Drosophila melanogaster: one gene and its partner. The main gene of each other region encodes a partner of the protein of the gene in region 2 in a complex. Each region holds a gene or a part of one and is shown on either strand. Other genes may lie near its edges.

Region 1 (4,759 bases), on a different chromosome or scaffold from region 2:
AACCTGCAGATGTCCGGCTTCATTCTGGCTCACGGATTCCTGGCGAATAGTGCCACCCGGATGTTCGATTCTACAGATTCAGAACTAACTAAGTAAAGGGAAGCTCTCTTCTGGACTTTGATTAGCTACCTGAGAAAGTATTCTTGATTGAGGGGCTCAAGTTGAAAGCCATTTGTGCGGATTTGCGGAACGATAGTTGGTGAAATTTGCGGTGCCGCGTTGACCGCAGTGAAGATGAAAATTGCCAACAGCTAAATATTATTATGATTTGAAAATGGTATGTTTAAACTTTGATTTGCATATGCGAAAAGACTACTCACCGCGAAAAAATCGCGAGACATGATGACCTGTCTGTGGTTGAACAAAAACTATCTGAATATCTGAACGCTTGGTCAGTTTTGAGCCCAAAACGAAGGCTGGTTGATTTAAGTAGCAAGCAAACGAGTTTTGATTTTTACGATGAAGATACAAAAAAATCACACATCTGCTTCGCGAGAAACACTTCAGTACACCTACTAATTCAAATAATTGCAAAATTCCCATCTTATAAGGCAATTGAAAAAGGGACACAATAAAATCGACTCATCTAGCAAAAGCATTCGGTAGCCTTCGCTGTGACAATTAACTTGGTTCAAATCAATCTCCACACGTCATGCCCAATGCAAAATCATTCTGTCATGATAAACTTGTGACTACATTAAACACCTGGCCTATGAAATTTTCTTGGGGAGTTCCCAAGTCAAATTTTAATTCTTTCTACGTGAGATTCTTACAGTTCTAAAAAGTCTACCCCGGTATATGACTAATAGGATTTTGACCTTTAAGACACGGTCCAATTGGGACTTGTAAAAAATGATTTCTAAGAATTTGCTAAAAATAATTTGAAATGGAAAAATACTTAACTGAAAATAAGAAATAATAAGAAAATATAGAATTGTTTACCCAAAAATAAAAAAATTTTAATTGTAAAATTGTCAATTAATTTATTTTTAACAATATATGTATGATTACACAGTTTTTATAGTTGAATAATAAAAACTTTTCAATAATTAAAAATTTGACATAGAGACAAACTTTTGCATTATATATGCACTTTCTGTATTTATTAAATGTTTATACTAAAAGGTTTTTTCCATTATAATAATATCTATAAAAAATTTTTATAGAAAAACACTTAAGACCAATCAAATTTCATTTTACCGGTTTGCCAATCTTTTGAACTTTGACATTTTATCAATTTCACCGATCGGAATCGATACTTATCTCGGTCTTCTTCTTCCCCCTTTCCATCACACTTCCTGTGTATGTGAATGCAAATTTAATGGGCGAGGGGGTGGTGGGTGGCTGCGAGGGCGGAGGCTGCAGCTCAAAACAAACACAAAAATACCCCCACATACACAGCGCGCCGCCCACACACACACACGTACTCGCAGACGCAGGCACATAGACGATGTAAAGTTTTTCACTGTTTATAAAACCTTATCAATTTCACTTACTTTGCAGCCATTGTGTATTGCACTTGTAACCTCTCGTTGTCGGAAGATTATTGCACTTTATTTCTGCTTCATTTTATTCATTAGTTTTTATTTTTCTTTGCAGAGGAACTTACGGCGCTGCCATACCTTAGTGTTACTAAAAATCACCGTATTGCATAGCTGCTGGTAGTCTTCAATACTAGCATTCCGTTCGGTATATTTGTGTGGTATATTTTAGGAGGCCCACTGCGGTCACTTTTAAAATGGCCGTCGATCAGTGAAGTTGTATACACTTTTTTCGTGTTCCGTGTTTTTCGCTTAATTTGATCGTTTATTTAAATGTTTTTATGAATTTTGGTGAGTTGAAAAGCTGATCGAATGCAGCCTGCTGGCAAAGGATTCGATCGAAAAGGATTTTGTGCAAACTTCGAGTGCCCGAAATAGTGTTTTCTATCCCCAAAGACAACCCCCGCATAGCGTCTCTCACCTCCAGGCAACAACAACACACCCAAAAGAGACGCACTGGAAGCATAAAAAGCAACAAACAGGTTTTCATTGTGTACAGACGTGTGTTGCTCTACCCTCTCGCTCTCGCCCCCTTAATTTATGCGCATGCAGCAACAGCAGCAGAAACAACAAAACCAACAACATGTATAAAGCAACATAAGAAACAAGTAATACAAGAAAATAAATCATTGAGTGTGAGTGTGTGTGCGTGCATGTTGGCTGTAAACAGCAGCCAAAGTGGTAAAGTTGAGTCGAATCGAGTCGAGTCGAAAAGAGAAGCGGATAATAAGTGGCAAAAGAAGCTGAAGCAAAAGAGTTAGCCAGCTTAGAAGTGACGCGTAGCTACAGGTGAATATATCGGACTTGTTTTTCAAGCGCGAGACAGGCGGTGGCCGCTGGTCGCTGCTCGCTAGTCTGTGGAACAGTAAAACGGGTTTATGGTTCTGATGTCCAAAAAGAAATAGAATTGAATCGATTAGCAGCCTAATCAATTTACCACTGAGCTGCAACGGTAAACGGCAAATGGAAGTTGCATTTACATACAAACGTATGCACAAGTTCCAGCCCATGTTCCCAATTTCCAAAGTGCGTTTCCCCCCCTCATTTCAAGTGGCCAAAATTGGAACGCGTCCCACTTAACCCCACTGCGGTGCAGGCTGTCCAAATTGACCCTCGTAAATAACTCCCACATTTGCGGCCTCTGTGTTTTGTGAATGAAAACTTAAAAAGGAAAAACTAAAAACTTGTCGCGCCATAACTACGCCTCTCCAAAAAATGAAATCAAGAAAAAAAAAGAATTAGCTGAATCATCTAAATATATAGTAAACTGGTTCGTCTGCATGATTCACCGAACATCGGAAGTCCGGTGATAAACCTATCCTACAGACCATGTCTGTTCCGTTTATTTTTGTTTGATAAGTGGAAAATAAGAAAAACAGAACAGAGCAATGAACCTCCGGCGATAGCGGTTTAACAAAAGAAAACAGACTTCACAATTGATAATTATTCATTAAAAAAAATATATACACACTACATGCAGAGTGTCATTACATCAGATCAGAGTCCAAGCTCCACCAAAACTGGCAGCCAGTCGGGCTCCAAAAGGCAACATCCACTACACGCCACTCGAATCCACCTGTTGCCACTTTGTTCGGCTTAATAAAAACGCCCACGGACCCAAACGGGTTGTACAGTGGGCATTCTTCGAGTAAGAAAAACAAATTAGAATCCTCCTCATAAAACAAATGAACTCTTATTACTACGTTTTCTTCTTTCGGAAGGCAACATATCACTAGATAGATAGATAGATCACCAAAAAATCTGCTAAACTTAATGTATGTAATGCAATTTCAATTGCTCATTACCTAAACGCTGAAGATAAAAGCCTTAAAATTAGTTCAACCCTAGTTGGGAAAACTGATTTGCTCAAAAAGTAATACAACCTATCAGAAAATATAATTGGGATATCAAGACTCATACATTTAGGTAATTGAAATGTAGTTATGATGGTCTTTAAGTAAATGATTATTAAACGAATAAGGAACTTTCATAACACCACTTTGTAATTGGACATTATCTGAAAAAAGTGTTTTATTACCGGCGTAGTAAAGGCTGTAATTCAACTCAGCGGGGCCTCACTGTCTCAGGCGATTTCTACCGTGGGCGGACGATTGTAAGCGGTGCATATCTAATAACTACACGCTGAAATCAATTTTGTATTGATCACGTCTGTAGTAAGGAACCCTGCCAGTTCTTAGATGTTTACACTTTTTTACTAGAAAAAAACGTATCTCCATTTAACACGTTTTTGTCGGGCTTCCCACACGCAGGAAAAAAAAACAAAAAAAAGATGAGGTAGAAAAAGGGAGCGGCAACAAGTGTCAAACGTGACATACTTTTCACCCTTATCTTGATGAGGCTGTTATCTCGCAACTCTTCGAAACCCATGCTTATCAGCGGGGAGGTGGTCGGGCGTGCCACCCAACTATCCCAAAAATAGTGGCACACATTCGTAACTTGATCTCGAATGTGAGCTCATTAATTTAGCGCCAGACGGTCAGTTTTTTGTGGAACTGGCATAATTGTATCTGTATTTTTATGGGCTGCCAGAAGCGGAACGGACTTCCTGGCATTGAACCCAAGTGTGTGGCTTGTGAAATATGAGAACGCCACTAAAAAAAATAAATGAAAACTTACGAAAACGCCGGTTGCAAGTGTGGTTACCTCGATAAGCCAAATACCCTATGTAGCAATAATATATATAAGGTCAAGAATAGATATATATGTACGACTAAGACCTTTCTAACTACAGCAGAGAGGAGAACCAAGTTGCTGAGATCTAGGTGCCCCAGAAAAGGTGTTAATTAGCTGTCTTTATTCCTAGATGACTGATTATTTCTGTAAGTGGCTCCACTGGGCTACAACTAAAAGAAGAAGTACCGACCCAAGTGGCGGTCGGTACCATTCGCTGATTTCTCCGCTCACTAAGCCGCAAAACGGAGTGATAAATTGTGCCGCTGAAGAGGGTATTCAAATGTAATTTATATTATTTATTATGCACTTTTATGGCATTTCTCGTACGTGGGTTCTTGAGGCCAACCCCCATCATTTGAGGGCATTAAAGCGGCCAAGAAGATGGGCCGCAGGTCACTTAACCTGACCTGTGACTTAAAACTCTGGCGGCTGAGCCGTGAAAAAACCTTCGCTTAGGTAAATGAAAGACGAATACGATACGTTACGTTGCGACGATGATACAGACCACCACCACGAATCAACCG
Region 2 (5,051 bases):
CGGTGGACATAAATATGGTATGGGCCTGTTTTTCATACAACGGTGTGGGTCCCATACATATGATTAATGGTATGTAAATATACCTAGTGATGTTTTACTGCCATATGCTGAATGGAATATGCCCTTATAATGGACATTCCAATAGGATAATGATCCGAAACGCAGAAGCAAATCGGCTAAGAATAAGTTCACCCAAAATAGAATAGATGCAATGCCGTGGCAAGCACCATCATCCGATTTAAACCCGATTGAAAACCTGTGGGGGGACATTAAACAATACGTGTCGAAGAATTCCCCGATGTCCAAGATTCAGCTTTGGCAAGTTGTGCAGGATGCATGGGCAAAAATTCCCCCAAACGTCCTCGTGGACTCCATGCCGAGTAGGTGTAAGGCTGTGCTGGCTAAAAAAGGCAATCCAACCAGGTATTAGTCCCTAATTAACACATTAAAAAAAAACTATGTTAGTTCTAAGTCATGTTGTTACTATTTTTTCATATCACTGCTATTTCAGTGAACACCAGAATTTCTGCCTATTATGTTGTTTTAATCTATATCTATTGAAAAAATAAAAGTGAAACATATGTTGAATTGTTTGATATAATAATAAAATTATGAAAAAAATTCCCATTACAACTTTAAATCATATGATTTTTTATCCTAAACTCGCAAGTCCCAAGCACTGCTATTTTTATGAACACAGCTGTATATATCAGCTAAAAGGTTGAGATTCAGCATACAGATTCTAAAGACAAATACGGAGCGAAAGTTTGTTAACCTATGTTGCCACGCCCACTCTAACGCCCTAAAACCGCGCAAAACTGCCACGCTCACATTTTAAAACAAATTTTAAATTTTTTCTCATTTTATTCCTTAATATTGATATCCCAGAAAAATAAAGCAATTTCGCGTTCGCATTCACACTAGCTGAGTTACGGGTATCTGAGTCGGGGAACTCGACTATAGTATTCTTTCGAATTCTATTTGTGTGGATCACCAAACATTGAAATGCTGTTACATATAGATTATAAATGTATTTCGTGAACACCCAATAAATCGTAATTTTGAAAATCTTCACAGCCAAAAAAACTCAGTTTAAAAATTTAATCACGTCAAAACAAAAACTGTGGGTTGGCTGTAAGTGTACTTCCCTGAAACATGGGTAGTTTATCGCATAGTTTAAAATGATGTCGTACAAATAGTTTTGAAACTACAGTTAAGGTTAAAATAATAGCACTACTGCAGGTGGAAAATTGATATCCTAAAAAAAATTATAAATTTTTTTTTTTTTAAGCCAGATTGCATGAATAATAAGTACCATATGTTGCCTCTTTGAGCAATAAATTTTTAGTCTCTCAATTTAACGGTTCTTTTTGTTTTTGGGCACTTGCTGCAAAAGTGCGCGAAATGAGGCGGTAACAAAAATAGCACTGAAAACGTATTTGCTGAATAAAATTAATGGGAGTGATTGCTTTGGTTTTTTTTACGACAAATTTTGAAAAAAAGGTGTTGCATTAAAGGTTTTAATTGAATTTGCTCCAAACGAAGACCAAAAATTCTCTAGTCATGGGTCACGGAAAGCATTGTACCGTCGAAAAAAGAAATTTGATTAAAAACGTGATCTCTGAAGGTAAAACCTACGCTGAAATTGGTCGCATTGTCGGTTGTTCAAACAAAATGATCCGCAAATCACTGCTGTTTGTCGAAAAGAACGAAACGCGGCGAGGAAAGCCTTCAATGTCCAACTTGGATGCTCTCCAAGCATCCAAGCGCTTGGTTCGGCAAAGCAAGAACCCGGTGACGGAACTGAAGATGGAGCTTCAGATATACTGGCTCAACTCCTTAATATGAAAATCTCACCCAAAGCATAATTCATGAACCAACGTGCTCTACCATTTACTGTCTCCGAATAGGACTATAACCGACCAAAATATATTCCGCTACTGCCGCTAATATGTTGACCGCAACTGTACATATATATTAAACATGAATCCATATCATGCTATAAATATTAATGGAATGGAAATCCCAAGCTAAGGAGTTTCCTATGTATGCTATATAAGCATATCTCGTTTTTGCAATAAAAAATTTCCTCTACCTAACACATTAATTGTAAAACTTTGAACAAATTCAGTTCCAAACGTTCAATTTTTTTCCACTTACATATATTCGCACTCAGGCCACTTATTCCAAGCCATTTCGTTATAGAGAATTTATGTAGTTTTAAAGTATATTCACGGCTATTCCAGGATTTCAAATTTGGGCGAGCGTGCACAATATTTGGTAATTTCATTGCAAATGCATATATGCATACTGCACATACATACATACAAATTTGGCCAGCGCCCGAATTTAAATACATATAATAAACCGGTAAAATGTAAGTGCACTTAGTTTAAATGTTTTTAGGCAAAGATTATTGAGAGAAGTAAAACTCGATCTTTTGCATTTGGAATTTTTGGGATATTCTGGTGCACACACATCTATACAAAATGTATATATTTATATGCATACACATGCACATCATATACAGCAAATTTTATTTTGCTGCTATCTTTCCCAATGCATGATGCATTTAATTTCGTATGTGTGAAACGCAGCTAACAATGTATTTAAATAAGAGCCACACTTTTTAAAAATACTATTTACATAAATATAATATATACTTAAGTACATAAAACAAAATGATTGCATGGCCGTTTTTAATTTTTACATACATACAACGTTGTATACCAGTTAAAGAAAATTTGTATTTTCTTAATAATTCTAAAGCAATGCAATATACACTGGAACGTTAAATGATTTTATTACACTTTTTTTAATATTTAGCAAAAAATGACAATTTTGTATGTATATCTGAATTATGGAACGGCGATAGTTTTCTAGTGAACAATCGGAAATCCGGCTTACTGTTTGTTTTCCTATATTTCACTCATTAACTATTATTTCTTTACATCGCAAGTCACTGAACATAATTTCTGTCTATTTTCGAATTACACCACACTTTAATTTACACATCATTGTATGTAAATGTTATCGATACTATAAGGCAGAGGAGAGAATTAAACAACTAGTTGTTAGTCCTAAGACCCGTTCATACCTATCACTATCGATACCTAAATTAACCGATGGCACACTTCAAAATGTAATGTTCACGAGTACATGGAAAATGTCTTGTTGTTACTGTGTAATGACTCGTACGAAAGTAATTTGGAAGGGGTTTGATTCCCAAGCCAGATAATATTTATTATCTCTCTAATTTCCTTGAGCATTATTAAAAAATGAAATAAATATATTTAATATATTCGTTTTCTTTAATATCGATAGTGTGATGAGACTATAAAGGTCTGTTCACAATGAAAATGTAAATTGAAAAATTGGACTTAAGAATTTCATGCTAACAGCTCCTCAATCCACAGCAAATATGTGCGCAAACTGTATCAAAGCATAATTTTGTTATTTAAAATTTCATGGCACAACTTTTTTTTGTTGGCCTTTGTGCACATTTTATGACCTATTGAAATATCTTCAACTGACACCGACTGCAGATGTGCATATTTACACATCTGATTTAAAGCATTGTTGTTATGACCATGTAGTTAGAGACTTAGTTAGTTAGTAAGAAAAAAAAATAATCAATAATTTCACTGTTTTGAGGGCTGATTAGCAATAGAGATTTTTTCTAAGAAATGACATATAGATAAAAGTTAAATGAATTGAATTGCAGGGTGTTTATTTGCACATGTACACATGAAGTGTATTCCACTATTGGCTGCTTACATTCTCAGCTTCGTGCGTGCGCAGTTTGCGGTATTTTTGGCGCTACTAAGGTAAATTCTATCCATAAATCGTCTATCTCACGTTAAACAACAGGATATCAACAACTTGTGGGAAACTGTCAGAAGATACCGTTGACGCACTTTTCAAAAGTTTATTCCCCTAAATCGTAAAATAGAAATGTAGAAAGGAACAAACTTATGGAGAATTGATATTTTCGGAACTATGAACTCTAGAGAGCTCAGAGCATGTAGATTCAAGTGACGCCACATTTTTCAAGATTGTTGCAGAACGTTTGTTGTTTAACCCTACCTCCCACAATCTGCCTTAAAATGTCAGAAATAAAAGGTTTACCCGTTATTCAGATAGTGGGAACAGTGGGCGTGGCTAAAATACGTTTGGCAAATCGATAGAAACAGCCAAGAGAATTTATAAAATAAAATCGAAAAATAATTCTTAAGAGTGGGCATAACAGTTTGGGTGTGGCAAAATTTTTGTGGTATGTCAATATCATGACAGATAATTAAATGAAAACAAAATAACAACACAACGCCCACAGAAATTGTGGGCGTTAGATTGGGCGTGACGTCGTTATGATACAATCTTGCTTATCCAATTCAAATTTAAATGATCGAGTAAATATTTTGAGAAGCACATGCCCAACCGACTAATAACGGAGGGAAATAAGATTTCAAGCAAAATTTTTTGAAGTGCTTTGTAGGATTAAAACTCGAGTGCCTATAATACATGTATACTATAAATTCCATTCTATATGTACAGCCTTTCCGCCGAATACCCCTAAAAAAACGACAACCAAATCCAGTCCGAAGTCACATGTCGAGATAAGGATAATAATGTATTTGTTAAATTTGATACACAGGCACCGTATTACTTATGCGGGGAACTTAGTGCCCTAGCTATTAAGTATCATGGAGAGGTAGCAGTTCCATACGAGGGCGATGAACTGGGCGTAGAGCACCTGGTAGCCCAGCGGCACGAATCTGAAGTTTAGCATCTGTGCGGCCGGCCAGAGCATATAGTTGCGGACCAATATAGATAGGTAGCTATCAAGAATGCGCTGCCGGATTCGGTCGATGGGCTCTCCGTTGGAGAGTGGCACCAAAAAAGACATGGCCATGGTAAAGGGTGGCGCAAAAAGGGTCTGGTCGACCAGCATTTTGGTAACGCCCCGCCGCATTGGCGAGTAGGTTTTGGGAACCCGGGACTCCAAAAAATGGTACCACCGGCGCAAAGTTGGGCCAACGAACACCAGTCCA

The links.
Region 1: the proteins of PlexA (region 2) and Sema1b are in contact, whole or in part, in a crystal structure (PDB 6FKM), measured with the Drosophila melanogaster proteins. Residues at the interface, in NP_001245428.1 of Drosophila melanogaster: Leu122, Asp123, Pro125, Tyr217, Glu220, Val242, Thr243, Arg247, Asn251, Ser252, Tyr253, Ile401, Ser402, Pro403, Met405, Val408, Leu409, Thr410, Lys411, Leu412, Leu422, Asp423, Val424, Asn425; in NP_001163178.1 of Drosophila melanogaster: Ala106, Leu107, Lys108, Gly109, Gln175, Ala201, Phe203, Ser204, Asp207, Tyr211, Arg216, Gln219, Tyr220, Asp221, Leu222, Lys223, Gln227, Tyr274, Ser275, Ser385, Ile386.

Annotation. Positions count from the first base shown.
Region 1 is NT_033778.4:17,680,466-17,685,224, reverse strand, and holds the start of Sema1b (semaphorin 1b), read left to right. Parts: upstream 1-1,725; 5' UTR 1,726-1,832; intron 1,833-2,230; exon of another isoform or gene 2,231-2,330; intron 2,331-4,759. Other genes in the region: CG42561 (uncharacterized protein), read right to left, coding at 1-70, 130-251, 321-341.
Region 2 is NC_004353.4:1,024,056-1,029,106, forward strand, and holds the start of PlexA (plexin A), read right to left. Parts: upstream 3,047-5,051; 5' UTR 2,908-3,046; exon of another isoform or gene 2,715-2,907; intron 2,481-2,714; exon of another isoform or gene 2,161-2,480; intron 1-2,160. Other genes in the region: mitochondrial inner membrane protein MPV17, read right to left, coding at 4,688-5,051.